4 linked regions of the Lepisosteus oculatus genome follow. The protein of the gene in region 1 interacts with the protein of each later gene in a biochemical or structural test. Links are inferred from orthologs where the notes say so. Each region holds a gene or a part of one and is shown in the gene's direction. Other genes may lie near its edges. The genes, in order: nup153, kpnb1, senp2 and nuclear RNA export factor 1.

Region 1 (7,998 bases):
AGCTCTTGAGCTGCATGCTTATTTCAAAGTCTTGTTTGGCACACCACGTGTTGTAAAACTATCACTTATGTTTAAAAGTGGTCTAAATATTTGTGGACAGAGAGGGACTGAAGTTCTTAAATTAAAAAGGAAGTTCTTCTTACTCTGAGACGAGCCATCGCCACTGAGGCGGAGAAAGAAAGTTTGCGTTGTGAAATATCTATCCTGTGGATGTAAATGTTTTTATTTGTTGTGTTTACAGGCAAACACGACGGCACTGTCCATGGGCGGGAGTATTTCCGCTGCCTCCCGGGACACGGCGTGTTTGTGAAGCCCACCCGCCTCTCTCCAGCCCCCCACAAGGTCAAAGCGCAGGACAGCGTACCCAGGTCCCAGTCGGCCGCCAGCACCAGCAGGAAACGGAGAGGCGTCGCCACCCCCCCGAAGACGCAAGAACACCGCCGCTCGTGGGTCAGCTGATCCTCGGCTTTTGCTCTTGCTACGCGACCTGCTGCGTAGAGAAACAGTGTTTGGTTGTGTATATTGGAACCTGATGTGTATATTCGGAAAGGTGACTGAATGGTTTCTGCTGGGTCGTGACTTTGTCCTTTTATTAGACACCAGCTAACAGCTAGTAGTTGGTGCACATTATACAGATACACATGTACTTAGTTTAAAGCCCACATTTTATAACTTTGACATGCTGTATTAATTCTGAATTACTTCATTGGAGACGCCTATTCACTCAGACAAGCTTACCTCCTGAGAGAATGTGGGTTTTCTGTTAGAAACTAGACCACTGTTAAAATTGTCTGTTTTCCTAACTCCTTGTCTGTATGATTTTAAATGTTGTGAATTGCCAAAGAACCCATTATATCTGCTGTCCATACCCTAGTTTGTTTGTTTTTTTAAAGGGAAAGCTCTGTGCCATATTTCCCTTGATGGCTAGGTATTGTAATGCCTTTTGCTTCTCTGTGTTTCACAAAACACTCTTCCATGACGTCTGTCTTCCAAAAGGCCGCTACTGTGTTGACTAGGCTTTTACTGGAATCCGTACAAACTCAATCACCATGCATCATCCAGTGCCTCAAGGCATTTAAAACACTAACATTCAAGTCTGTCTGCCAGGTAGATACAGGACTGAGAAAAGTGTTACTGCTACAAAGAGAGCTTCAGTTTTGTTGTGTTTTGGAACAAGTACAATTTCCATTATGTAATGGTACTTAGACTCTCCTAATTTAAACTTTTATGTGGAATGGTAGGGTTGGACAATGATGGGGAAACAAAAAAAATGTATGTATCATAGTTTTATATACTTGGATGATAGTGGGTCTTGTGTGCTCTGCTTGAAAAGTATTGCTAAAAGTATTTTTAAACAGATTTCATCACGAGGAGCTGCAAAAACAAACGGTCTACTGTAATTTCAAGTAAAAACCCAGGACCTTATTTTAAAAAAGCTGCTCTCCCCGAATCGATGGTGTAAATAGCCCCCTGTTTGGACATAGTGTTTACTACACTGTACTGTACAGAATTGTAATTTATATTGTATTTCACCAACTCTATTTAATTGGTACAGAAGTGTTTTAGAATACAGAATGTTTACAATGTAAATACTTTTCTTGTCTTTTTTTCTTCATTCCAAGATAGTCATGAGCATTGTCAAGTTCTCTATCTGGTACATTACTCAAGGGTCATCACTTATTTTAAGCAGTCATTATGTCAGAAGCCAGTTCATCTTGGCATTCATAAGATATTTCTGAAAGGTAGATGTGTCAACTGCAAAGGAGCAGGTAAAGGTTTATTCCATGCTTAAAGGAAAAGAAAAGAGATGCAATGTTTCAGCTATGTTGCCTTCTTCAGGATTTTGACCACATCTGAAACGTTGTCTCTTTTCCTTTCAGCGTGGAATAAACGTTTACCTATTCCTGAGACATTTTCATTTGTTTTAAATATATGCACTGAAGTACAATTTACAGCACAGCAAAAAAGAGCTGTTAAAATGACTAAGAATCGGCACTATGGCTTGAGCAATGCCTGTTAAACACTGGGCTCTCCCTGCTAGCTGCTGACTTCTTTCAGAAGAACTGTGATATTTCAATCTATCGCCTGCCACCGCTATGTAACAAATAGCTTATCTGTTCAACACCAACTTCCTCACAAAATAAGATAAAAGGGATTTTTTGTGAAAAATAATACTGGTTCTTTATGAGAGTATCACCATATAAAGCAATATCTTAGGACTCAAAACCATGCTTTTAATTACCATGCTTTTAATTACCAAGTAAAGTCATTTAGTGCTGTCACAGTGCTTTTAGTGCTTTTGAGAATAAAGAAGATACATCACTGTGTTGAACCACAGAGTATCTAAACCTGTACTTTTAATTTGCCCATTCAGGATTAAATGAAAGTCCAGAAAGTTAGCCAAGAAACTGCACAATTCTCAAGTTGGACTGCACCTGGAGTCCTATGTTGATTTCCAGGAGGGTTCTGAATAAAGCCTTAGGTGATTTAGTTGCATTGTAAAAATTCTTAACTTAAAACTCTGGTTGTATGACAAAGCTTCATCCTTATATTCTTAATACTGCTGTTACAATTGTTGTATTCCGGAGCAAGCCAACTAGCCATATTGTAGAAGCTGGTACCCTGGTTCCTTTTAAGAAACAGCTGTATGAGATCCCTGGATCAATTAACTACAAACTACCAAATGGATCAGATGGGTCAGATGGCTTCCTCTCTTTTGTAACCTTTCTTATGTACAGTAGAAAGCAAAACATTTTTTTTAAGTTTCACCCACTAAAGGCTCATGCATAAAATACAATTACCCCCCTTCTGTCTGGACAATTGTATTGAGAATCCTGCAGTCTGACACATATTATATTGTTATACTGTAAGAAATATTTGAAAGAAAAAATCAGTCATTACCAAACTCCTCAAACACATCGATCAGTAGTGTCTTTCTTAGTGTACTTCTTCTTGTGAATCAGAGTGACAGTTCAGTAATGGCTGTGTGAATCGGCTTTTCAGATTATTCTGGATGTCTATAGGTTTTTATTACTTATTACTTAGCTCTTCCGTTAAAGGCCGTCTGAAGAGCATCTCCCAAAAAGGCAGTTCATGAAAAGGTTTGTAAGAAAACATACAGTATGCTTAAATGGCTTATGGCCACTTCCTAAAGGCTGAATATCTTCACTGACAGATATGTCATTTACTGTATAATTGTGTGTGCTTTCTCTGAAGCTCTGTGTACAACACCAGTCTGCAGTCTTGCCAATATAACCCTGAACTCTTTACATCACGGATTCAGATCCGTGATCTGTAACTCTAGCTGAAACCAAAGGTTTTTAGGACTGTTTTCTCACTCGGTTCAAGTAACAAGGCTCACTGGCATAGAGGCTGTTCCAGAGGATGACTTCATTACCTTTGAATGTAAAATCGCTCTAAAGTACTACAAGGACATTAAAAAGGATATTTACATACTGTATAAAAACATAGATCCTTTCATGCAGACTGTAACTTCCTAGATCTCACTATTACTGCCTCATATGTATTTGTGCCATCTTCCTATGTGGACTCTTCTGCACAAAATTATATTAAATTTCACTTGATGTTTTTCTGGCATTGGGGCTTTTAAATTCCTGCCAAAGGACAGAAACAGAGGTCTTTGTGGCCATGACTGTGGCAGACACAATAGTGTGTGTATATATTACAGGACTGGGAAGGACCTCAATCCTGACTGTACTGGTATGTTCCCTGAAATGGTTGGCCAGTGTAAATGGAAGGAAACTTTGTTCGGGAAAGATCACTCTAATCCACAGATCTCTTCACAATCCGTGCTAGACACTTTGTGATGGACCAGAAGACACTGTATTGCCAGTAAATTCATATCCACTCCAGATCACCCAGAGGGCATTGTGCCTGTCCTGCAATTCCATCCACTGCATTTCTTGCGGAAAGCGTCCTACACTATCACATTTGAAAATCAAGACGAATGCCCTTCACAGTAATTCAAAGCGGTAATTTCAGTTGCCATATTTCTGGCTATCACACACCCAGTGGAGTTTACCTGCCCCAGTTTAGGGGGCAAGAGTAGATGTGGGAGACTGCAACTGGGTTGCTTTCTTGCCTGGTTTAAGAGCAACTTGCAGGCAAGGCCAGCTTGGAAGGTATCTGAGAATGGCCAGCACCTGCATGGAAGGCATTCAGGAGCTATTCAGGGTTCTTGTACTGTATTTACAGAGTCAGAGAGTACAAGTTGTACTCCAGCTCCCCAGGGGAGTTAAAATAAAATATATGCTGATTTTTTACCTCTGGTGTGTTGACTGTGCTTGGGTGATGTCACAATTCCTCCGGAGATTTTATTCTTTATTCAGGCAAAGTACACTGAATTCTCACCGTCATCAACTACATAGTATGAGGAAGTAATAAAAAAAGGACAAAAGAATGCTTGGGCATAGCATTGAGATTGCAAAGGTTAAATCAAGTGTAAGTAACGTTTAAGTTATAAATTAGATTGCTTTTACATGGAATAGTTTAAACCTTTTGTCAGCATGCTAAAAAAATCATTTAGAGGTGAGCACTGACAAAATTAGTGTTTCTAGCCTGGAACATGGGAATTGAATTGAGGTTCTCAGAATAGCAAAAACCTTCACTCAATCAACTCAATTTAAAGTACAGGTAACAAATTGTGTCACTCGTAAAATTCTAGCAGTAAAACCTATGTGCTCAAACGTCGTCAAGATAGAAAGATCTGAACAGGTCGGTGTACCCAAATTCCTTTTTGTACGTTTCAAAGACGTGTCTATAAATGGTAATATTCCGTGTGTACGTAAGTTAAATGTGATTAATAAAAAATACATCTTGACGAATGTATGATTTTATCCGACGCATTCAGCTTTTTTATTTAAAAAAAATTAAGTTAACTCTTCCACGAGGCGTACCAGAAAACAGAACTTCAGGTCCCACAAACCCTTGGCATACGCCTCGCCCGCGATGCATGTCGGTATAGCGGCGGGCCAGGCTTCTCGGAGGCTGACGGGAGAAGAGTATCCGATACCGAGCGGTGAGCTGTTGTGAGTAAACCATGGCGGCTGCAGGAGGAGGGAAAATCAGAACTAGGAGGTACCACATCGCTTCGAAACCTTACGCCAAAGGCAAACAGGTAAATTGAACTCTGCTTTGTGGCTAAAAGAAAACGGCGGTGTCTTGCTCGCTGGTGGTAGTCAGGTGTTGTGTGTTTGTAACGGCGTCTTGCGGCCTGGTCTGCCCCATCCTCGGAGGCCTGCGCTCTCTGGTACCTGGTGTCTGCGGCCTACTGGGCGCGCAGGCAGGCTGAACACATCGGGGAGGTCGGGGAAATAAGGCAGCCCGGGAGCACACTGCGAGTAGCGGTGGCGTGAAGAGGCAGTCGGGGTGCATTATCGGATTGTCATTAAGCGGTACTTAAACTTTGCATCATTTTGCGATTTTACTGGTATTCTCTTCGCTGATTTTTTTTTGTTTATTTACTTTTTTTTTCGGGCGCTAAAAATGTAACGTGCGTCCACCCTGGAGCGAGTCCAGGCCCCGCATGTTGCTTTAAGACTGTAACTCTTGCCGGAGTGGCGTGCACACACTCGCCAGGTGGAAACAGGGGAAAGCCCCGATAATTTCGCTTCGCGGAATTAATCCTTGAGACCGCCGAGTTCCGTCCTTTTAGACGGCGAGTCAGGGTGATCGGTGCGCTCCTGTGCTCCGAGCATGTGGCTCCGGATCTCGCAGTGCAGTGATTGCGATCACGTCGTAAGCGGGCAGATCGCCGAAATTTTGCGGCATTCGATGTTCGAACGCCAGCGGGATAAGTATATTGTATTCCTAAACCTTTGCACTTCCCAATGTGAGGTTTAAAGTGTAATCTCCGTTATTGAGGAGTATGCGCTAACCAACCCAATTAAAAGTGGTTTATTCGTGGGGTGCTGTATTTTATTCTAAGTTTCGTCTCTCTTTAAATATCATGTCCGGGCACCCAAAAAGCTTGAAAAAGAACGCCCCCCCCACCTTTTAAAACCATTCGAGTATAACAATGTTGTTATATTTAACTTTTTTCAATTCCATTTAAATCACTCCAAATTCTGGACATGTGGATTCTGTCAAGAAGAACCCGAGTGTAGGTTTGTATTAGATGAAGTCATTCCACAGGCTTGAGCTGTGAGTTTTTAGTCACACTGAAGCATCTTGCTGTTAACTCGCAACCTTTGTTTCAAACTTTATCACGCAATTTAGGATTTCACCAAGGAGAACTGTAGTAGCTAACCCAATCATTTAAAAATACAGCTGGTTAACAGATTTGCTACTGTTTGGGGATTTTTTGTGCTGTTTTTTTATCTTAGATCTGTCATGATGGCATATTATGACAGATCTAAGAACATCACTCATGATGCAGGTACAAAAATTGGTTTAAATAGGCCAAGTTCATGAAAAGTTAAATTATGCAAGACTGGGCCTGTTACATAATATGCCAGTTCATCTCCTGAATGCTTCTGTCTTAGGAATGAGGTTTAATTTTTTTTTTAAATGCGCCTTAAGTTGCAGGATATTTTTTCTTCTTGTCTGTCCTGGTCTTTCGAAGCGCTTTCACTGTGCCGAAAGTTGTCCAAAATACGGGGAAGGAAAATGTGTAGTGAAAGAAAACTGAACTATCAGTTCATCTAGTATCAGAAAGCTGTTTGTTCCTAGCGAGGGTCACAAGGTGAGACTCGCTCTGGATGGTATGTTGCAGGAAAGACGGACATAGGGACAATGAGAGAGTCAGTTATCCTGACCAGCGTGTCTTCGAGGAAACTGGAGCACATGGAGAAGACTCGTATAGAATCAGGGAGAAGACATATACCACACAGAGGGCACGTTCTAATTTAAACTGGTGTGGCCAGCCTATGAGGCAGTACATCTTTTTTTAGTGTTTTTAATGTTTCTTTATTAGCCCTATACAATTTATTGCATTAGGAATTCGCCTTTTCGCATACCCCGGCTTTTCTCCATGGAAACACAGACAGGGAGAGAAGCTGCCATTGTACGGCGCCCCTGGAGCAGTTAGGGGTTAAGGGCCTTGCTCAGGGGCCCAACGAAGTAGGGGCCCATTCCTCTGCCGGCCGCGGGGATTTGAACCGGCAACCTTCCAGTCACAGGCGCAGATCCTTAGCCACAGAGCCACCGCTCCGCCCCTGCATTTTGCATCTGTATCTGTATCTGCATCTGCATCGCCCCTTCCATCTGCAATGGAAGCTTTGAATCGGGTTGCATAGTTTTTTGGGACTCCCATCATTTATACATGGCTTAAATGCCACATACCCATCATTCAGGAAAACTAATAGTCACATCAGGATGAACCTGCCAGAAAGGCTGGGAAGTGAGGTGTCCCTGTGCAATGCAGTCCGAATACTCTGTGTTGCTATGAGTTCTGTAGTAACTAGACACTCCTGCACAGATTCTCCAAATGTGATCATTTAACTAGAGAACATTTTGAAGAGGGCAACAAATCCATATGCATCTGAATTTTGTTTTCCTCTGTTGTGTTGTCTTAGAAGTTCTGTATTTTTTTAAAGGTGCCAGACAACTGAAATATCAGGCAGCTATTTGTAAATTTAAGTTATAAATTGTCCCCTTCACCAAATTAACATCTCTTTGAAAACGCATCCCAAATCGGCTCTTATCATTTACTCCTAATTATTCTTTTTTATCAAGCAGAGGGCTGAGTAACCGAATTTGGACAGCTCAATATGTACTCTTGAATTTCAGGTTAGAAATGTGGTATAGGGTTATCGTCAAAGAATTGGTGATAGTTAAGGTTAAAGTTGTGATAAGAGTGTGGATATGTCAGGATTCATTTTTTAGTGTAAGTGTAAGGTACACGTACAGGTTGTTTTATTCCAACTTTTTGTCTCAACCCAGGTTTTGAGTATGTAATGAGCTTTCCAGAGGTTCATATCAGCATCTGCATCATCTGACAGCTTTTGTGCTTGCATTCATTAAGATATCTGCATCAGG
Region 2 (7,017 bases), on another chromosome or scaffold:
GTCTGCTACATCATTTGCTTCGCAGTACATTTCCACTCTTTCAATGTACGTTGCCCAGTCCTCAGTGCTAGTATCAAATGCGGTAATAGTTCCAATCATCGGCATTTTTTTTCATTTCAAAGCCCGTTTTCCTCACACATTAATTAGCTCACAACAACCACTATAAATTCACAATATGTACTGTATTTGAATGAACTCGCACGCTGCCTTTTTGCTAATGGTTAGCGTGTTTCATCAGTGTTTCTTCAGTGAATATTAAGGATTTAATATTTTTTGGGATGTGGGGGTGTATAGACTGTGTAGGTTCGTGAAGGAGCTCTGTCTCCATCTAACAACACACATCTAAACCTCACACCCCTGGGCCCTGGGGCTGCACAGAGCACATAGAGGAAGCTATACTGGACACAAAGTAAAGAGCCTGCAGGTTCCCTTGGGAAATTTAATACAACATCATCCCCTGTATCAGCCATAGTTAGTGTGCACTAAAATGTGTTAATTACCCCATCAGAGTGTAGTTTTGCCAGGGGGAGTTTTGTGTTTCACACTGACCAGAACTGTCTGCCCCCCCCCCCCAGAGCTTCTTCGAGAGCCACCACGCCCCCGCAGCCGAGCGGACGGTGCAGCAGTGCTGCGAGAACATCCTCCTGAACACCGCCTGGCTGAAGCGTGACGCCGAGGACATCCACCAGTATATCCTGCAGCGCCGAGCCCCACCCAGCGCCGCCGTCTGACGCCCTGCGGCCCGCGCCGTCCCGCAACCGGGCCAGGGGCCGAGGGAGGAGTCAGCCACGCTCTCCTGACTCCACTTCTCCACATCAAGTAGACAAGACTGGTTGGAAAATGAATGTAGTTAACCCCATTCTGCCCACGCCAGATTGTTTTCCCCAGACGGAACCGTGCTTGCAAGTAACTAAGCAACATAACTTAAAACACACAACATAACATTGTTGGTGTGAAATGATTCTGGCCAATTTTGTTTCATATTGACATAAGTGGAAATGTTGCATTGTTGAGCGTACTGTGAAATGATGAATTTGCTTTTCTGGAAACAAAGCGTCAAGCGACCACGAGGCAGCTCTGGCACCTCACTGGGGGTCAGGCGGTCAAGTGGAGCTGGGCAGGATGGGCTTAACTTCTCCTCGCGCGGAGAGCAGCCGTTAGCACACAGCAGCGCTGAAGGGTGATGCTGAGAATAGCTCAGTGGGAATGGCTGAAACTAGCATGGAACTTGATATGTATCTATCCAGTGTTTATTCACGCAAGACTTCTCACTCAAGAATGGTGATGTACATGATTTTCTTCCCTCCTCCGTTTCGTAGCCCTTTTCCAGAAGGACTCTTTTCTTTTCCATGGTCCCACACCTCCTTGACCCTGAGCTGCGTCCTCTGTAGAGCAGCACAGAGCCTCTGCCTGGAAACACATCTGTGTATCAGCCACATTAAATAAAATTAGATACAGATATTTTAGTAGATTTAGCAATTGTTTTAAAGTTGTGAAACTCATGAAAAGTTCTTCAAAGCGATTTGGGCCTTTTAAATGACATTTACAGATAATGCTGCATATTAAATTAGTTTTAAAGAAATGAAACTTTCAGGCCCTGAGAACTTTGCCACAAAGTAACTAGGATTTCACGGCTATTGAATTAAGAAGCCTTAAATTGGTTAAACTGGTTTGCAATAATTATTACACTGTGAAGTGGTAATAGTTACTACACTGAAAATAAAGCAATGTTGTACTAACATTACAAATCTACGTGTAGACTTGTTGAAAGGATATATTTACATACAATTTGCTATTTAGTGTGGCTTTGAACCATACTGGAGAAGGTCATCAAACTAATTGTCAAATTGCTTCCCTGAAACATCTGTTGTGCTTTTGTTTAAAAAACGGTTGGTGTTCATAAAATAAAAAATCAACAAGAAGTGTCAATGTGAAATCGCTTTTTCTTTTTTACTCTCTTACAAACTTGTTAGGACCTGTCAGTCATAGGTTACTGGCAACTGAAACAAAATATTGCTATAAAGCAATGTAATAAAAGGAAAGAATGCCAACATCACTCCTTTCTTCAATGACAGTGTTGATGTGTATGTTTGCAAACCTGGAGCGGTTATCCTTCATGCCAAAGGAGATTGAGCTGAGAAGTGCATCTCCATATTACCCAGTTCCCTGGGGTGTGTCCAGTATTTGGACCGTGCTGCTGTGTTGAGCAGAGAATCGGGAACTGGCACAGCTGCTGTTCTGGCAGTGGTGCCACAAGAGCTGAAGCTGCTTCTCCACACTGGAGACTCGGGCCCACACACGGGCCGCAGAACTGCAGGCCAAGCAGTTGTTTTTCAGTTTTGAGTCGCTATTAAATACTTTTATGAGGGAAAAACACAGATTTTTATTATTCTTATATATTAAAATCTGATTGCCGTGAACTTTGAACATAAAGCAAGCAACCAAACCAGGAGAGGATTGGCCCGTTTAGCACCAGTCTAGCTGTTCGGTAACCTCTTATTCAGAAAAGATTGACTTGCATCAGCCTTAGCCTGCAGAAGGCGGACACCAAAGCACACCATTTTAGTTTTACACAGTTTTTGCAATTTGAGGTCAAGCTAATTTGTGCTCTGCAGCCAGCTGTAAATGAGCTGTCTGTTATGGCTGCAATACCACTGAACTGCAATGTCTGCTTCTCTGTAGCATTTCAGGCCTCCTCTGGTGATGGCCTTATCCAGCAATGTTATGTAACAGAACAATCTTAAACTCTCTGACAAAATTTCTTCTTAATATTTGAGACTGTTGATTTGAATATTTTATACTAAACAGGGCTCGTGTAGCTGCTGTGCGTTATACCTGGAAGCAAATCGCACTGCCTTCCGCTGGGCAAACCTCGAGCTCTGCGCAGTCCACGCGCCCTGCCCTGTCTGTAAACCCAGCGCCCTCGGGCCGCGAGCTGCGCGAGCCGCACCGCCGGGCGGGAAGTACAAACTCTTCCAGCGCCTCATCGCGCCCTGCGGGCCGTGTATCCTTGCACAGACGGAGTCAAATAGTCCCCCGCACACACACGGACAAGGCACGGGAAAGTGCCGCGGAGTTGATGGTTATCAAGGAATCTGCCTTTTCGGATCTATTAAAATGCTCCTATCTACTTCCTACATTTACTTTTCTGACTTTCGTTTTTGAATGTGGATTACGGAAGAAAAGGCGTGCTAAACGTCGACAGGGCGGATGTTGCACTGTTTGAGCAAATCTCGTTTTCTAGGTCTTAAGAAAAATACTGATATTCAGGGCTCTTTCATGAGGCTGGGGGGGGAGGTTAAGTCACCCCACCGGGAAAGTGTATTTTGCATACTGTGATAGATATCGGTGACGGCTACAGTTCTTTCTGATAAAACATAAATTCAGCATACTGCATTGCTTACTTAAGAGGTACAAAGGAAAAAAATCAACATACTAAAATGATTCACTGTGGCTCCGCTCCTCACATGCAAGACCCCCTAAGTAATTATTCCTGGAGCCGCAGAAGGAGCCAGCAGGATGATGTGAGACCACCCGTCGTGCCGGGGTCTGGGTGTGCCCGTGTCTACAGGCCAGGCCTGCGCTGCGCTCCGCCGGTCTCCTCAATCCCTGAGCCCACGTTTCGCCTGTCTGTTTCTCCCGATCACGTTACCTTGCTGCTCGTATTGCTGTTTTTTAAAGTACCTCACTCTGTACTACATCTGTTACTACACCATGTTGTAACATTAGCTGTGTTACCCCCACGCTAATAATGTGACTTGCAGTAAACTATAGATCTATAGTTTACATACAGGCTTGTGGATGTAATCCTGCAGACAGGACGTCTCTATTATAATGAATATTCGGGTGAATATTGCTGTTATTAGGGACAGCCGCCCCCGCTCCGTCCGCAGGAGCGCGCACATCTGGCAGGGGGGACAGGCCGGCTCTCGCGGCGGCGCGGGCAGGAGCGGGCCTCGGGGGCGCGCCGGGGACGGGGGCGCGCCGGAGGGGAGGAGGCTCTGCCACTGCGGCGGCGCGTGATATCCTTCCGCGGGAGCGTGAAGCAGCTCCTTCCCCCCAGACAGCAGCACTGCCGCTCGGAGAGCACTTACCGCCTCGCCGGGCGCTCGCTGGGGAAACGCGTTTCATCGTCCGCCCTCCTCCGTTTGGAAACTTTCATGTCATATCGCCTGAATACAGAAGGAGTCTGATCCGGTTTCTGTGGTGCGCTACCAGCTACTACTTGTGTGGAGCGGCTCGGGCAGAATGGAGCTCATCACCATCCTCGAAAAAACTGTCTCTCCAGGTGATTATACCCCCGGAGCCGCGGGACTTCTCTTTATGTCCTCACAACTGCTTTCAATCCGGTGCTTGTTCGGCTTGAAAGCCGTGGATCCCGGGAGAATCGGGCTCCGGAACGGAAAGTTGTTTGTGAAAGGGAGGGAGGGGTGGACTCGGCCTGCAAGCCTGCCGGACCGGCTTTCTGGGGCCGATTCCCCGCGCACGTCGCCCGGCCTCCCGGCGCGGCCCCTGGGCTCCCGCTGGCCTCCCTGGGCCAGTCCAGGGGCGCCTCTGGGCACCGGCTGGCCCGGCGAGGTCTGTCTGGGAAAGCGGCCTAATCGGAACAGGAGGTGTAATTGTAGGGCTCGAAAGGCCGGGTCGTGGATCGGTGTAACTTCTGCATCTCACCGGTGGTTTCCTGTACAATTTATTTAAATCGTGGGTCTGTGGGCAGCTCGAAGTCGAATGATGGGGCTGCAGATTAGTGGTGTCACTAACTTGGGGATCTGAGTGCCGTTTTCCGGCGTGCCCGCCTGCGCGGTGAGCCCTGGCGGCCGGTCCGTGTGGTCCCGCATGAGCTGCCGGCCGCGGCCTGGGGCGCTCCGCCGCCTGCGAGCTCCGCCTGGGAGTGATTTTCTAGGAAAATGGAGATTTCTAGCTGTACGATTCTAGGCCTCCGTGTAGATGTCTAAATTGCTGATCTATAAGGGTATTTTCATTGAGTACCCGTTAGCGGATTTAAGCGACATTTTTGTTCATTTTATTTCAGATCGGAATGAGCTGGAGGCTGCGCAGAAGTTTCTGGAGCAGGCAGCTATTGAGAACTTGGTTTGTATTGGTTTTTTCACCCCCCCAGTCTGTGCTCTGCGTAGATTTCTTGCCCCCTGTCTGGTGCCCAAGTCCTCCATTACGCAGAAAAGATCCTGAATGAAAAAGCGCCATGCCCCCGCTGCCCACTCCATTGTAATCGGCTGTGAGTTTGATTGACGCGCTGCGTGGAGAATCGCGGGCCCGGATTTCCCGTGCAGCGTGTCCAATGGCGGCTCCCGTACAGGGCGTGGGGGCTCGGTAGAGGCAGGGGCCCAGTCCGGGGCCATGTGAGCGCCGATCCGCGGGGCCTGACCGCTTACAGACGGGCTTGGTGGTCTGTGCATCTGGCTTAGAAACCGAGAGTAATTTCTGCTTTCACCTCTGGTACAGAGTTATTTACGAATGACCATCGATGTCCTGAAGTTATTCCCCAGGCTCTGCAGATGTAGGCGTGGACAGAAAAGGTTACTTTTCAGCAAAGGAGAGTGTTCGGATTGGTGGTTATATGTGCAGTGTACAGCGTAGATAGTCATTTTTTAACTTATGCATAAGTTAAAGTGCAAATTTCAATACTACTATGAACGCTTTATAATCCGGTCTTTAAAGTATCTATCATTTTTACATATGTTCAAAGATAAAGATCTGAACTACGAAGCCACTCATGTTGTTCAGAGCCACCTTCATGAGAATACCCTTTTCAGTGCAGGCTGCTATTTGCAAGCTCTGTTCCAACCATGCAGTGGTGCATGCATGTGCAACAAAAACACTGGCATTTGAAGATTACCATGAATCTGCTTAACGTCTCATTTTACTTCTACCGTTGCCTTTTATTTTAAGTAATTGAAATCTTTTTAAGACATGTAATAAGGTTTAGCTCTTTGTCATTTAGTACTAACAGTATGGAAAAGTATGGCAACTGCCCTTTTTTAAACTAATAACTAATTAGTAGGACAAACTTGTGAAAGTCAAAAACAGAGGCCTAATAGTAACTAATAGTTGGCAGAGATTGATTGTGACGTCCAAAGGCATTCCCAGAGAACACACTGGATAAGTTGAGGAGTTGACCTTCCAGCGCTCGGCCTGGTTCGTGGTTTCGGCATGCCGTGCAGGCATCTGCATTCTAGGTCTCAGCCGAGCAGTTCGGTTAGAGCCATCCGTAATGGCAGAAGAGGCATTTATTAACAGAAAATGAACGGACACATTTTTGTGGTAAAGTACTGCTCTGGTGCCTGCTGTGGCTGAGAGTGTTAACTGAGGGTCTTGCAGAAGTGAACATAATAAACGCAGAAGTGGCTGTTTGTTCTAAAAGGGAAGGGGTTACCGCTTGGAATGCTGCTCTTGTAGTGTGGATTCGGGTCAGGGGTCAGCTCCTGCTTTGGCTGCGATGGCTCATATCTGTGGCTTGTTCATCTCCCAGCCTACCTTCCTGGTGGAACTGTCGAAAGTGCTGGCGAACCCGGGGAACAGTCAGGTGGCACGGGTGGCGGCTGGCCTCCAGGTGAAGAATTCCCTAACCTCCAAAGACCCTGATGTGAAGACGCAGTATCAGCAGAGGTGGCTCGCGATAGATGCCAACGCACGGAGAGAAATAAAGAACTATGTAAGTCTGGCACAGCTGCTGCATTCAGAACTGATCAGTTACCAGCTGAAGTTTTTCGGTTCTTTATATGAGACGAAGTAGGTTCATTCACCATGCTTCATAGCAGACACAAGTGTATCAAGCCAGTATGGTGGTGTTGTTGGGGTGCTTGTTGTGTTCTTTTGAACTATTACATCATAGTGCTCTATAATACTTCTAGCTTCCATATTTATTATTTTAGACACTGGTGTTAAATGGACAGTTCTTTTATTATTAAACTGGAGTTAAAGGAATTGTGTATCACTGCAGACATAAGCAGACCTTTTTTAATAACCCAATACTGACAACTTTCCTTGTTACAGGTG
Region 3 (7,995 bases), on another chromosome or scaffold:
TATTGTAGAGTAACAGTGTAACCATCGAGGAAGGATCAGAGAAAAACAAAAAAATAAATCTCTGGGGTTCCATGTCTCGATGGTTTTCTCCTTTCCAGAAAAAGCTGTGTGTAGCAAGAAATTATTTTAATGACAGTATACTGTATATGTGATCCATAATGGGAGAGGTTGTGCTTGAGTTTAGTGTCTGTAAACAGATATTTACTGTGAGTGGCAGTGGATGTATCGCAGTTCACTTGGCTGATCAATCTAGGATCTCTGATCTACGTTTATAGCACTTCCTTCTTATTTTGACAGGCATTTAGGTGACTATCCATTTTATCTTCACAAAGAAGTTGCATCCATCTTCAGGCAGTACCTTAAGCAATCTGACTGGGAGTGTATAGGTTGGACATTGCTGACATCCATACAGAAGGAAGGGACCAGACTGTTTGAGATCCTTGCAGATTGTTGCTACATCTTCTTTCCTGTGCAAGGCTGCAAAGGAGTGTTTCAGTATTCAAATGACTGTCCATTTTAAACTCAGTCGCTGATTATATCACTTTGAGCAAACCATGGAATGTTGATGCAGATGTATAAAAATATATGTAGTTAGAAGTTGAAATAGATTTTACGTTAAATATTCTTCATGATTCTGAATACAAATCTTCTCTTAAAAGGGGTTATTGAAAGAAAAAGCCATATTATTATATGTTATCTTAATAATGCTATATTTAGCCTGAAACGTTTGCTTCTTTTCAGTAAAGCTTTAATATATCATGTTATTTTAAAGGACTGTTTTCTCCTTAATTTAGTGCATCTATCCATATGGAATGACCTTTCCAATAGTTTCACCTACTGTTGTCACAAACTATATCTATTTCTTTCTTTTCTTTGTAAGCTATGTATTTTTGTATTTATGATTTTTTGCAAAGTGCTTGAAATTTTAATAAATGTCGATTCTAACAACATATGTTTCTTTTTGTGAAACAGTAACTGTTTATGTTTGGAACAAAATCACTATAAGACTGAATAAAAAGAAAATGAAGTAGATTATTTTACCAATTTAAAAGCCTTTTATAAACAGTCTTTTGTTTTCTGTTTGTATTCTCTAAACCAGGAAACAACTTAGTGTTTATTGTATTAAGCTCTTTGTTGGTAAATAATTGGGTTTCCAGCTGCCCTGTATTAAATTTTGAACTAGACAGACTCTATCACAATGACATAGAGATTCCTGGTTCTGGAGAGCCACCCATATATACTTCATAGCAAACATAATCAATTTATATTTAATGTGTTTTACCGGAACACATACAGTATATTTGCAAAAAGTTTTTGTCACAGAGCGTGATCCCTAAATGCAGGATAATGTTAGCTTTTGTTGCTAGCTACTCCACCTAGCAACATTAAGAGTACTAGGACCGTTTTTGCTCCACAACAGGTTCCTCTATCCTACCAGAACCATCAGTACACCCAAAGATCTGCACAGAACAGGTGTCATACATAATTACACTTTTTAATACTTTATTATCAATCTATTCATCACACAGGACCTGCGATGCGACAGATTCTATAACTGCCTACCCAATACACAGAATACATAACACAACTTAATCAAAAGAGGCACATACTCACAGAACAGTAAAAGATCCCCATGCATCCCACTTACCAAAACCCAAATTTCCCAGAGGAGCAGTCCAACATCTCTGCTCTCTAAAACCAACTCCAGTTGGTGAGCTGGCATGCTTTCTTCCACCACAGACAGAAGAAACTATTTGTAGTTTTTGATATCTCCTCAGTCTTGGCCATACTGGACAATGTGGTCTCTTATGTGCCTTCCCACCCTGTTTTGCTCTGAATCTAGCTTCGGTAGGGGAGAGGAAGATGATGCTGGAGCCTTCCTCTAATTCTCTACTAGAATCCTTAGTGTCTGAGTCCTTACCTGTGTGCTGTGGTACGAACGGTTTTACTTTAGTTTCTTCTGTCTGTGTGCCCCATGAGTCCTAATGACTGGGGTGTTTGAAGCTCCTCCTACCAGGTCACATTCTCAGGCAAGTGGAAGTCTCCCTTTGATGTCTTGGAAGTGGGCAGAGCTAACTGCTTGGGGATCATTGATCAAGTCATGCAGATGACCACGATTAATGCTGCAGTGCGTATTTATCTCAGTCTAAAGTCCAGTTAGACCTGTCTCACAATCACACGTCACCTTGAACTGTCAGGTAACTGCACAAGGAGGACCTTTGATCTATGGGAAGCCCCAGAACAAGGAAAGACACGGAATGTACCATCCTTACAGAGACACTAGCCATTCTATGCAAACTTCGTGTCAGTATAGCCCTCACACCTCCGGCCCGACACCAGTTTTTTTACACTTTCTCCTACCTTTTCACAGCTGATGCATTCCTGCTTTTAATGTTGAATGCTTGTAAGGTCTGCTAGCCCAACACTGAAAACTATGCTGTGTATGGCAGTAAAATTCAATGCAGATAAAGCTGGCATTGTGAGTATCATGTTTGTATGGGACAATTAAATTAACAGTGATGGTAGGTATAGTAGTAACTAGTGACTAGTTTCCATGGGAATGTATTGGATTGGACACCACTGATGTTAGGGTATCAATGTCTTGTGCATACAATTTTTTGCTCAAGTTTTATGATAGCTGTTAGAGTATGCCAATGTTGCTTTATAAGTGCCACTATATGGCTTTGTAACAGCTTATTTTACTTAGTACTAAATTGACATTTTGCTAAGGTGGCTGACATAAGCAAAGAGGAGACTGGATATGTGGTTGATGAAAATGTATTTATCCCATTAGCTATCCTTTTCCCATTGTAATGGGGTTTCCATCTGTTTAGGGGCTATTCACCCAGCGGATGAACAGAATAAAATCCTGCAACTGACAACTGGTAACCCACTGAAGCTAAGTAGGTGTGAGCCTGGTCAGTACCTGGATGAGAGACCACCTGGGAAAAACTAAGGTTGCTGCTGGAAGAGGTGTCTTGCAGTCTGTTTTGGTTCTAATGCCCCATTATAGTGACGGAGACACTATACTGTAAACGGGCACCGTCCTTCGGATGAGACTTAAAACCGAGGTCCTAACTCTCTGTGGTCATTAAAAAACCCAGTGTGTTTCTTGAAAAGAGTAGGGGTGTTACTCTGGCATCCTGGCCAAAGTTCACATTGGCCTTTACCAATCATGGCCTCCTAATAATCCCCATTTATGAATTGGCTTCAGAACTCTGTTCTCCTCCCTGCTGATAGCTGGTGTGTGGTGAGCATTCTGGCGTACTATGGCTGACGTTGCATCATCCAGGTGGGGCTGCACATTGGTGGTGGTTGAGGGGAGTCCCCGTTACCTGTAAAGTGCTTTGAGTAGTGTGTCCAGAAAAGTGCTGTATAAGGTTAAGGAATTAATTAGTTAACAAAATAATGAGGTGTACCTAAAGGCACTAGCATGATCTGTGAGAAGTGTGTTGTCCTGAGAGATAGCTAACTGGCAGTTGTTCAACTTAACATTTTCCACATTTTTACCTTTCTGTTCATGTATTGTAGTGTGGGCTACATTAAGTGTTTTAATAGAAACATAAGCAACGTTCATGAAATAAAGAAAATAATGGAGTGTATATGACTGTATAAATGTTTTGCATCGCATAGTACTGTAATACGTCGCAAATTAGTTTTTAGTGTGAAGAACACAATTACGAGTGATTGAACCTGTTAAGGCTAGCTTGATGCAGACGCAAAAAGAGCGTGATATGCTGTTAATGAGGGTACGACTGAAAAACTATATAACAAATCCTTAAGCCTGGTCTTTAAACTAAATTGACTTTAAATTGTTTTAAACAAATTCGACTTTGTGGCAAAAAGGGTTTCCTGTTCTGTCCCCCCAAAGCTTCTCATCACAGAAATACAGCATGAGGAGGTGAGAAGAAGTCGAGAGGCAGAAAATAAAAAGTCTCTTGGTATTACTTAAAAAAAGGATTGATAAACATTAGTGAACTTCATTAATTAAAAAGTATATACATTCCTTTTTAGTTCCCTGGAGAAGAATATCAAAACAGATCAGTTTTGAAAACTGTAACAAGCTGTATAAGTATATAGCTGTAAGTTCTAATCATGTGTGATAATGAAAATTGTAAAAAAAAAACTTGACATGACAATTTGCGAATATTATTTAATTTGCGAATATTAATTAACAAATTATACAGGGCTATTTATAAAAATGAAGTGTTTATGTGAAAAACACACCACAAAATAAACCTACTTCATTGAGTGTTCAAAATAAACACCTACCTACTTCATTGTATTCGCGCAACTGTATCGACTCTGTTATCTAAAAAGTTTACGTTTTGACAGTTGACCGCAGAAGAAAATCCGAGATTTTACCCATATAATGTAATGGTATATCAGCCTGACATGTAACTGTCCAATACGTAATATACCGTTTATGTACAAATACACTACGTATACGCGGAGAGGACTGATAAGTCTGTTTTTCATGGTTCTGCTTTCTGCTGTTGTTTTGCTTTCTTAATTATAAAGTGTAATGTATTAACTGTAAACACAGTTCAGTTTATAATTGGTGTAATTGTAATTATTAATGTAATTGTAGGACTAGACTGAAGTTGTATGAACTTGGTGTGTACGATTGTTTTATATAATAAGCTAAAACGTTAAATATAATTGTTATTTGATTAAAAGTTTATATTATTAAACAGGAAATAATATTCGCAAAAACAGATTTCTCTGACAGCTCCGAAACGGAATAATTGGTGGGTAAATAAAACACACAGTGCGATGCAAATTAGCTTCAGCCTCGTTGAAAGCTTGAATAAAACACACGTTGTGAGTTTTACCTGCAACACTATAAAACATCACTCACAGTGTTTGTAGAACTACATATAATTAAATGTCAAAACACATCTGTACCCTTGCAGTGCATTTTCACAAACTGGATACTTCCCGCGGTGCGGATGTCCACCCTTGCATTGCTATGCTCGGTCACTCGCTTGCTGGTACGCATGCGCATCAACGAGGTTCGGCCTTATTGTGTTTTGGTCCGTGCTGAACTGAGAAGGCTGGGTTTAGTACTGCAAATTGAGAAGTGCGTGTTTGACGTATTGTTGTCGTTCAGTTAGCCAATGAAACCCCAGGATGTAAAATCTTAATGTTTTGTTTAACCAACCAGGTAGTTTATTTCAGTTTTTCAGACGTATTACTATGAGACGGTCGTGACGCGAATTGGTGTCCCTGTTCGGAGGCTGGTCAACCCAGCACCCTTCAGACCTGGCCCTGACAGTGACAGACGGACAGGCGGCCTTGTTGTCGCGGTTTTCTGATATGTATGAATGGATAGTTAACGGCATCACGTCGTTCTTTGTTCCACGTTCCCGGCAAAGGACGCGGAGTCCTCCCGGCACCGAGACCCCGCCGAGTTCCGCCGCCGCTCCTCGGCTGCAGAGCCGCGTCAGCCCCGCTAAGAGAAATTACCAGAGGTCGGTGTGTTGCAGGTTTGAGCGACGGGGGACGGGTGTGCAGACCAGTGCCTCGTTAACTTTTTCTTTATTGACATGTTTTGTTTCGAAGTCAAGTGGCAGTTTGATAAGAATAACGAGAAACAATAATGGTTAATGAAATGAAATAGTGTGTCGAACACGTATTTGTTCGAGTCATGCCAAGTTTGTTTCGGCGTTTTAAAAACCGTAACTTAGACAGTGTCGTGGAGTTTACTTCAAGACGTTTTGCTTTCCAATTGTCTTTGCTAGTGAAGTTAAATTGCAACTTTACGCATTGATAGCTCGTTACCCGTAGTTTTATCGGTGCTAGAATTTGTTTGGCAGAGAATACAATTTTTAACTATTGTATTAATTCCGTTTGTCAAATAGCTGAATCACGAATAAACGTTTGAAAAAATAAACTTGACATTTTAGCCTGCCTCTCTTAGGGTCGTAATGTATCCACCTAAAACCTTTTAAGGTTTTCCCATAAAAGCTGTTTTCATCTGGCTGTCTGGCACAGTGTTCTTGCTGTTGCAGGACATGTATTTGTACTGGTGAAATGTACAGGTATGGCACCTTACTTAGTTTGCCACAGCATCGAGTTTAGTGAGGAATAACTTTTATTCCAGGTTTTAAAATGGCCTCTGTGTTTTCCCCCTCCCAGCATCCAGACATCAGACACCCAGACTGAATGTTCGGGGATCAAAAGACCCAGAAGAGGTATTTTTCAGGCTTGTCTCTCCCTGGTGAAATTGTCAGTGCAGCTCTGATCTCTAGATTTGTTTTCTTTTTTTGCTTGTTGGGGAAATTAATTCATATGCTAAAAACGAATTTAGTTGGGCCCAGTAACGCCTGTAATTAAATCTGATCACCCTATTTATTTACTTGTGCCCAGAAACAATTTTCTACCCTATATAAAAAAAGTATCTTTGCATTAACGTTTCAGCAACATGTTTTGTTCAGTTACGATTATAATAAATCAACTTGTCTATTTGGAATGTAAATCATTAAACTCCCTAAACCTGAATAATAAAATGGATGGATGCAAAGGTTTGCTCTTTTCTATTAAGCAGTTAATGCATATTGAACAACTTATTCTAAACAGAATGTTCTCTTTTTTTTGTGCCTAACAAATCTCACAAGTAAAAGTGAGTATGCTCCAGTTTTGACATGTGGTGTCTTGTAATGTTTAATCCTTTCTGCCTAGATGGAGCTGTCAGTATTGTCAAAAAAACACTGACGGGAGTCACCGGGTTTTTCAGATTTCAGAATCCTTTTACTGCTTCTCACTGTGAAACCCTAAAGGTGAACAGCACTTCTCAGGTAGGTACTCTGTTTTAATTAAATACCATTTCAAAGAGTAGATTTTCTTTACAGATTCTCTAGTCCAAAACTGTTTTTACAGCAATACCATATTTAAGAAAGGACAATTGGAGGTTTAAGGAGTATTATTAGATTCTGAAGTGTTTCTCTAAAGTGCCATACAAAAGTATTCAGACCCTTGTTGTTTTAAAGCTTGCACTTTGTGTAACATTTATTTTTGCTATATCAACAAAGTTCTCCACACAAAGCAGGAAACAAAAATGAGTCAATTGAAAATTCATATGAAAGAAAAATGGAAACATCATGATTTCATAAGTATTTAATAATAATAATAATAAACTTTATTTTATATAGCGCCTTTAAAGGTAGCGTCTCAAAGCGCTTTAAAGGATGACAATAACAATAAATAAGAAGACTGCAACAATAAATAAGAAGAATACACAAGATAAGATACAATTACAATTACAACAATAACAATAGAGGAGACCATGGAAGGTGGTACTTAGAAGAACAGGAGTGAAGAATGGAACCAGTTAAATAAAGGCTTTTCTGAAGAAGAAGGTTTTGAGTCTGGATTTGAAGGTGTTTAGAGAATGTGACTCTCTGATATCCTTGGGCAAAGAGTTCCAGAGCTTGGGGGCATAGCAGGAGAAGGCCCTGTCACCCATACAATGTAGACGGGCTTGGGGGACAGTAAGGAGGGCAGAATTTGAAGAGCGGAGGTTGCGAGGTGGGGAGTAGGGCAATAATAGTTCAGACAGGTATTGAGGTGCCAAGCCATGTAGAGCCTTATAGGTGAGCATGAGGATTTTAACGTCTACGAGGAATTTGACGGGAAGCCAGTGCAAGGACTCCAGGTTAGGAGTAATGTGAACACTTGCACTAGACCTGGTCAGGATTCTGGCTGCTGAATTGTGGACATACTGCAGTTTGTTCAGAGTAGATTTAGATACCCCAGAGAGTAGAGCATTGCAGTAGTCAATTTGAGAGAATACAAATATGTTGATCAGCTTTTCAGCCACAGTTAATGATAGCATAAGGCGTAGTCTTGCGATATTTCTAAGGTGAAAAAAAGATGTTTTGACAGTATGCTGTACATGTGGGTCGAATGTTAAGCTAGAATCAAACATAACCCCAAGGTTTTTCAATTTTGATTAAAGTACAGAGCCATCTACAGATGGGTTAAAGGACTGGC
Region 4 (7,645 bases), on another chromosome or scaffold:
GATCCAGTGATCAATAATACAGTGATCGATGGCGGTGATCAGTGATACAGTGATCAATGAGACAGTGATAGGTGGTGGGGATCCGCGATCGGTGGCGGTGATGAGGGATCATTGATACAGTGATGAGTGATTGATGACGGTGATCAGTGATACAGTGATCAATGATGCCCTCTCGCAGGACCTATCTGGAGGAGGAGCTGACCAAGGCGCGCCTGAAGCCCTGCCCGCGGAGGGATATGTACCAGAAGATGGTGAAAGTAGACCCGGCAGCTCCCACGGCGGATGAGCACGCTCAGCAGGCCGTGACCAAGCCGCGCTACATGCAGTGGAGGGAGACGATCAGCTCCACGGCAACGCTGGGCTTCCGCATAGAGGGCATCACTGTGAGTGACCCCGGCGCGCTGACCACAGGTCACAGGTCACAGGTCACAGGTCACACACACACCTGCGTGACTCCCACTCCCTCTCTCTCAGATGGAGGCCGGGAAGGTCCTGAGGGATTTTAAGAAGACTCGAACCCCTGAGCAGATCATAGAGGCCATTCTCGCCTTCACCAGGGGCCAGACGCCTGTCCTGGTCAGTGTCCGGCCCTCTGTCCCGCTGTCCCTCTCTGTCTCGCTGTGTCCGCAGTGTTGACTCTCTCTCTGCTCTGCCCGCAGGAAGCCTACCTCTCCAGGCTGAACGATCTCCGCTCTGCTCTCCCAGACTCGGTCTTCTTCCACTCCCACGAGGTCAGTCAGTGTGTCCGTCAGGAGGCCCTGGAGAGCCTGGACACAGACATTGGACTCCCTCCCGTTTGTCCCTGACCCCTGACCTCTGACCCCTCTCTCCCCCAGCTGATCAGCAGCTCCCTTCTGTTTGTCCCTGACCCCTGACCCCTCTCTCCCCCTGCTGATCAGCAGCTCCCTCCTGTTTGTCCCTGACCCCTGACCTCTGACCCCTCTCTCCCCCAGCTGATCGGCAGCTCCCTCCCGTTTGTCCCTGAACCCTGACCCCTGACCCCTCTCTCCCAGCTGAATGGCAGCTCCCTTCTGTTTGTCCCTGACCTCTGACCTCTGACCCCTCTCTCCCCCAGCTGATCGGCAGCTCCCTCCTGTTTGTCCACGACCTCTCCGGCCGGGCCAACGTGTGGATGATTGACTTTGGGAAGACCACGCCCGCCCCGCCCAGCCTGGCGCTGCAGCACGACGTGCCCTGGACGGAGGGCAGCCGCGAGGACGGGTACCTCATCGGCCTGGCCCACCTCACCTCCATCGTGGGCTGGGCCCTGGAGCGATCACGAACCGGCCCCGGCCCGGGCAGCAGTGCCGAATCGGACCAGGATTTCAGGACTGCCCCAGAGCCGAGTCCGGTTCCGCCCAGGCCTGCTGACGACGGTACTGGACCCAGACCCAGACAAGGGCACACCTGACCACACGGCCAGCACACTCAGAACCTGCCAATACTGGACCCGGTTACACCAACAGAGCCCCAGACTGTAACCCATAGCAACCGTGCTGGCCCACCATGCACAGGGTCAGAGGTCACCGCACGGTTCCTCTTCACATCCGGTCTCCGTGGGGATGATGTGGTGGGAATGGGAAGCTCTCCATATGGGAATCTGCAGTCGATATTCCTCGGATTCTGACCCCCTGGGAATCTCGGGAACGACGGAAGGTTCGGACGTGATTGGATTGTGTAGAAATATTGGAGTTGTTGGTGTCGAGAGGGGTGTGTTTTGGCAGCAGTATTTCAGGGAGGAACAGGGGCTCCCTGCTCTTCCAGGAGCTGGAATTCCCCTGCAGGGAAAGACTCCCTATTCGGCCTCATTCGTCAGGGAATGTGCAGCTTTCACTGTCCTGGACACACTGACCTCCAGGACTGGACTGGAAAGCCCTGTTCTAGACACACTGACCCTCCAGGACTGGACTGGACAGCTCTGCTCTGGACACACTGACCCTCCAGGACTGGACAGCTCTGTTCTAGACACACTGACCCTCCAGGACTGGACTGGACAGCTCTGCTCTGGACACACTGACCCCCAGGACTGGACTGGACAGCTCTGTCCTGGACACACTGACCCTCAGGACTGGACTGGACAGCCCTGTTCTAGACACACTTCCCCTCCAGGACTGGACAGCCCTGTTCTAGACACACTGACCCTCCAGGACTGGACTGGACAGCCCTGTTCTAGACACACTGACCCTCCAGGACTGGACTGGACAGCCCTGTTCTGGACACACTGACCCTCCAGGACTGGACTGGACAGCCCTGTTCTAGACACACTGACCCTCCAGGACAGGACAGCTCTGTTCTAGAGACACTGACCCTCCAGGACTGGACTGGACAGCCCTGTTCTAGGCACACTGACCCTCCAGGACTGGACTGGACAGCTCTGTTGTCTGTGGCAGTAGCGATTATCATCAGTCTGTCACAGAAATAAAGGCTCCTTGAACTGTGTTGTTTGCTTCCTGTTCAGAGTGTCAGGCTCTGCCCCTGAGCTCCCAGCCACACAGCGGGTCTAATTAACTAATTAACACAACTGTAACGCTTCTGCGCAGCTGCAGGGGTGTCTGCAGAGCTGGACCTGGAGGGACGGGACTGTGAGTGACCTTTAGTAACACCTTGTGTGCGTCTGAGACGATGACGAGGTCAGGGGGCTGATTGGCTGAAGCCCTCAGGGGGACACACTCCTGAGACCCCCAGGAAACACTGGCAATGGAGAGCCAGCACCCTTAACTACTTAATAATAATAATGATAATAATAATTGCTTACACTTATAGAGCGCTTTTCTGGACACGCCACTCAAAGCGCTTTACAGGTAATGGGGATCCCCTCCACCTCCAGTGTGCAGCCCCACCTGGATGATGCACCAGTCCGCTCCCAACACACCAGCTCTCAGTGGGGAGGAGAGCAGAGTGATGAAGCCAGTTCAGAGAGGGGGGTTATTAGGAGGCCATGAGGGGTAAAGGCCAGGGGGGAATATGGCCAGGACACTGGGGTAACACCCCTACTGTTCTCGAGAAACGCCCTGGGATGTTTAATAACCACAGAGAGTCAGGACCTCGGTTTTACGTCTCATCCGAAGGACAGCGCCTGTTTTACAGTACAGTGTCCCCGTCACTATACTGGGGCATCAGGACCCACACAGACCGCAGGGTGAGCACCCCCTGCTGGCCCCACTCACACCTCTTCCAGCAGCAGTCTCAGTCTTTCCCAGGAGTCTCCCCTCCAGCTACTGACTGTCGAAGAAAACTCAGTCTTCACTCAGGTTGGCAGATTGTCAAACAGAGATCTTTAATACGAGCAGCTGAAGGGGAGCACAGCACGGAGATCGGGTTTCCCCTCGCGCTCCAGACATGCTCCCCGGACTGAAGTGACACTTTCCTTTTTATACATTAAAAGTAGGCGAGACTTTAACGCCTCAAAGGAACACACAGGGAAAGGGGCAGTGTCGGAGATCAAACAAACAGGACAGGAAGAAGCCATTTGGCACCCTGCACTCTGTTTCATCTCTCTCTGGTGGAACGGGTGTGAGGAATCACAGGCTTTAGTTTGCACCTGAGACAGAAAACCTTTCCCGCGCATTGTCACTGTCGTGACCTTTTGGCCCGGTCTTCCACAGGCTCACCCTGCTGGGCTCCAGTGGGCTGCCAGCTGGGAGTTGCAGAGTGATATGGCTGCTGGCCACTTAATTCAATCAATTCAATCAACTGCCCTGATTTATAATAATAATAATAATAATAATAATAATAATTGCTTACACTTATATAGCGCTTTTCTGGACACTCCACTCAAAGCGCTTTACAGGTAATGGGGATCCCCTCCACCACCACCAATGTGTACCCCCACCTGGATGATGGGACGGCAGCCATAGTGCGCCAGAACGCTCACCACACACCAGCTCTCAGTGGGGAGGAGAGCAGAGTGATGTAGCCAATTCATAGAGGCGGATTATTAGGAGGCCATGATTGGTAAGGGCCGATGGGAAATTTGGCCAGGACACCGGGGTTACACCCCTACTCTTTTCGAGAAGAGCCCTGGGATTTTTAATGACCACAGAGAGTCAGGACCTCGGTTTTACGTCTCATCCGAAGGACGGCGCCTCTTTACAGTATAGTGTCCCCGTCACTATACTGGGGCATCAGGACCCACATGGACCGCAGGGTGAGCGCCCCCCGCTGGCCCCACTAACACCTCTTCCAGCAGCAACCTTAGTTTTTCCCAGGAGGTCTCCCATCCAGGTACTGACCAGGCTCACACCTGCTTAGCTTCAGTGGGTTGCCAGTTGTGAGTTGCAGGGTGATATGGCTGCTGGCAATATCAGCAGCTGTTCCTGCATTAAGGCTCTGTATTTTATATAGCGCCTTTCACGACCAGTCCCCTCCGAACCGCGATGGGAGCGGCAGGCTCACCAGGAAGTGGAGGGAAGCTGACGTCATTGGCCCCGCCCAGAACGCGGAGACCCCACCCCACCCCTCGCCTCTCTTCGAAGCGTCCCGCGAGGAGCGGCGTCGCCTCAAACGGACATGCGCAGTATCCCGCACTCCACCTCCAGGGGGCGCCGCTCCGTCGCCCGTGGCCCCGAACCCCCCCCCCCCTCCTTTTCCCCGCCCCCTGTCACGTGACCCCCCCGCCCGGCTGTCTGAAGTTGGCGCGGGAGAGGCTCGCGCCGGGGGGTAACGGTCGCTCTCTGGAGCCCGGAATCACCTTGTTAATCAGCGACCATTATAATAATAAAAAATAAGTAAGTGAATAACGAATTTTAAGAAGTCATTGGCGACGGTGACGACGATGGCGTTCTTTCCCAAGTGGTACGAGGACTTCGCGGTGGTGAGGCGCAGGGACGCGGAGACAGGTACACGCGTGAGGAATGACTTGTGCTCGGTTAGTTTCGGACCTGTATCGCCCCACTCGTGTTTGTCACACACAGATGTGTCTGTCAGAGAGGCCCCCTCCCGAGCCGGGTTCAGAAACGGGGCTCACTCCGTCGCGCTGGCGTGAAACCCTCGGCACCCCCACTCCGCTAACAAACCCCACGATAATTCCTCCCCCGGGCGCCCGGTGGCGATTTGGTTTTGGCCGGGTTGAAGCGGGGACACGCGTGGGCCGTCTCGCTCGTGTCCGAGCGCCCACGTGAAACTGAGCTCCTTGCTACTCGTACGAAACACGTGCATCTAATTAGATAAGGGGTACAGGTCAGATCACACTGGGGGCTCCAGTCCAGTAGGACAGTCTGTTACACTGGGGGCTCCAGTCCAGTAGAAGTGTCTGTTTCACTGGGAGCTCCAGTCCCAGTCCAGTTACACTGGGAGCTCCAGTCCAGTAGAAGTGTCTGTTTCACTGGGAGCTCCAGTCCAGTAGGACAGTCTGTTTCACTGGGAGCTCCAGTCCAGTAGAAGTGTCTGTTTCACTGGGAGCTCCAGTCCCAGTACAGTTCCACTAGTATTGTTGGGCTCCTTGCTCCTGGTGCTGCTGGCGGTCCAGGAAGTGATGGAGTGCTCAGGCTCGGCTCTTGGTTCCTCAGGCAGCGCGGTGTCTGCCCCGGTCCTCCGGACCCCCCGGCCTTGTGGGCTTCCTCTCGGCCAGATCATGCGCCATCCCGGGCTTCCCCTGTGCCTCTGTCACTCGTGTCTTGTCAAATTCCCCGAAGCTGAATCTGCCCAACGCAAGGTTTACTGGTGGCCAGCCAGTGTCAGCTGGCGAAGCTGGAGAGCTCCGCAGTCATGATAGATGGCATCTGATTGCGGACGGACGCCCTGGGTTCTTGTGTGTTTTGTTATCACTGCGCACAGCCCCCCTCGGGTCTGAAAAGTGTTTTATACCTCAGCTACGCGACGCCAGCTCCCTGGAACCCCGCACCCTACCATATAGGGAGCCGGGCGTCCGTCCACACAGGAAGTGCGTCACCGGAAGCTGGCCGCTTGTAGTTCTGCGGGCTCGGGGCGGCGGAGACGTATTGCGCAAGCGCAGTGTTGATCTCCCAGCTTGTGTCGCCAAAGCACAGCGATCGCACTTGTGCGGGTAGAGGAAAGAAGCGCCGATCAGGACGTTTTTACAGTAGCGCGTCGGCTGGATTATTGCATGAGCACAGCAGGGTAGTCTTCTCGGGCCGTGCGAGTCTTCTCGGGAGCGATCGTGGGAGCTTTCTTTCGTGGAGTGCGTGGGGAGCATGGCGATGGCGGACGAGGGCCGGTACTATAGCGGTAAGTGATGGAGCTTCTCCCTGTCCAGCTCAGCCAAAATGGAGACCCGCGTCCTCCAGCTGGGGAGGCGAGGGCAGACTGCGGGCCGCCGAGATCTCAGGAAGGCGCCCTTCGTGACGCGCGGTGCGGGTTTGTTCTCGTCCTTTCGCGGATCGCGGCTCCGGTCCAGTCCGGTGCCGTGACGCGCTTTCAGCGGGAGGGCCAGTGTCGCAGGGCGCCTGTGCGTGCGTCTGTCTTCGTCCCCGTCCTCGCCTCGCAGTCGTGACGCCGACCCCGAGACCAGGAGACGGGCTGGGGAGAGCAGGTCGTTCCCGGGGCAGAGGGGACCCCCGCTCCGGCTGCTGTTCCCCTGTAGCTGCCCGGTGGTCGCACGGACCCCCGGTGGCGCAGAACAGCGGTCAGGCTGAAGTGTCGCCCCAGCCCCTCCGGTCCTGCGCGCTGCCGAGAGGACCCCAGGCTCCCGGCTCGGGATCGCTGCCGACCCCTCTCACCCTGACCGTCCTGTCTTTCCAGTCTCCCATCAGGAAAGATTAGGTCAGGTGGCACCAGGAGCACAAGGCAGACTCTCATTAATCACCTGCGTTGACCACTGGACATTACTTTAACTGTGTTATCAAAATTGAATGTTGATTATTTAGTTTACAGCCATAGTATTATGTGCAATAATAATGTTATCTGTATGTGGGTATTTATTATGGATAGTTTATTTATCATTTACAAGTATATATGTGTGGGATTATCACGTAGGGAGAGTTCTGACACCTTCTTGAAGTGCAATATATATTTTTTCTTTAATTTCTGAAATGTATGTCGTGTTTTATGTGTCTAGTATATGTGGCGTGTTTGTATGTATACAGTGTATGAACAACTCACCAAGTCAAATTCTTTGTAAGTGAACACTTACTTGGCCAATAAAGAGATCTTTTGATTCACCGATACTGTAGCACATCCATTAGTTATCCTGCTCCCAGAATGTGCAGGCGCTCGGGGCTGATCCAGTGACAGTGTATCACAGTGTCCACGGACAGCGCTGTTTCAGAGGGACAGGAGCTGCAGCAGTGTGAAGTCAACAAGCCGAAGGCCTGTGTGAAGTCAGTGTGCGAGTGTGAAGCACACTCCCTGCTTTAGAACATTTTCATACAGTAAAACCACTCGGATTCACACCCTTAGAATCGTGCACCACAGGGCGCTCATCCAGAGACTGGGACTGGACTGGACTGGACTGGACTGGGGTGCCCCCAGAGTGCTCGTCCTGTGTGATAGGGACTGGGACTGGACTGGAGTGCCCCCAGAGCGCTCGTCCTGTGTGATAGAGACTGGGACTGGACTGGACTGGAGTGCCCCCAGAGCACTCGTCCTGTGTGATAGAGACTGGGACTGGACTGGACTGGAGTGCCCCCAGAGCGCTCGTCCTGTGTGATAGAGACTGGCACTGGACTGGAGTGCCCCCAGAGCACTG

The links.
Region 2: the proteins of nup153 (region 1) and kpnb1 form a complex in vitro, tested with the Homo sapiens proteins (4 studies listed by BioGRID and IntAct, with this or other methods). The link is inferred for Lepisosteus oculatus from reciprocal best matches to the Homo sapiens genes NUP153 and KPNB1.
Region 3: the proteins of nup153 (region 1) and senp2 form a complex in vitro, tested with the Homo sapiens proteins (2 studies listed by BioGRID). The link is inferred for Lepisosteus oculatus from reciprocal best matches to the Homo sapiens genes NUP153 and SENP2.
Region 4: the proteins of nup153 (region 1) and nuclear RNA export factor 1 form a complex in vitro, tested with the Homo sapiens proteins (2 studies listed by BioGRID and IntAct). The link is inferred for Lepisosteus oculatus from reciprocal best matches to the Homo sapiens genes NUP153 and NXF1.

Annotation. Positions count from the first base shown.
Region 1 is NC_090705.1:16,834,029-16,842,026, reverse strand, and holds the start of nup153 (nuclear pore complex protein Nup153), read left to right. Parts: upstream 1-4,998; 5' UTR 4,999-5,059; coding exon 5,060-5,137; intron 5,138-7,998. Other genes in the region: kinesin-like protein KIF13A, read left to right, coding at 242-459. UniProt on the Homo sapiens protein: Component of the nuclear pore complex (NPC), a complex required for the trafficking across the nuclear envelope. Functions as a scaffolding element in the nuclear phase of the NPC essential for normal nucleocytoplasmic transport of proteins and mRNAs.
Region 2 is NC_090723.1:10,479,190-10,486,206, reverse strand, and holds the start of kpnb1 (importin subunit beta-1), read left to right. Parts: upstream 1-4,011; 5' UTR 4,012-4,248; coding exon 4,249-4,288; intron 4,289-5,032; coding exon 5,033-5,091; intron 5,092-6,490; coding exon 6,491-6,673; intron 6,674-7,014; coding exon 7,015-7,017. Other genes in the region: npepps (puromycin-sensitive aminopeptidase), read left to right, coding at 576-731.
Region 3 is NC_090707.1:24,428,026-24,436,020, forward strand, and holds the start of senp2 (sentrin-specific protease 2), read left to right. Parts: upstream 1-4,981; 5' UTR 4,982-5,319; coding exon 5,320-5,489; intron 5,490-6,141; coding exon 6,142-6,197; intron 6,198-6,684; coding exon 6,685-6,800; intron 6,801-7,995. UniProt on the Homo sapiens protein: Protease that catalyzes two essential functions in the SUMO pathway.
Region 4 is NC_090713.1:22,970,843-22,978,487, forward strand, and holds the start of nuclear RNA export factor 1, read left to right. Parts: upstream 1-4,641; 5' UTR 4,642-4,774; coding exon 4,775-4,838; intron 4,839-5,925; exon of another isoform or gene 5,926-6,152; coding exon of another isoform or gene 6,153-6,186; intron 6,187-7,645. Other genes in the region: inositol-trisphosphate 3-kinase B-like, read left to right, coding at 179-383, 475-576, 660-731, 1,076-1,411.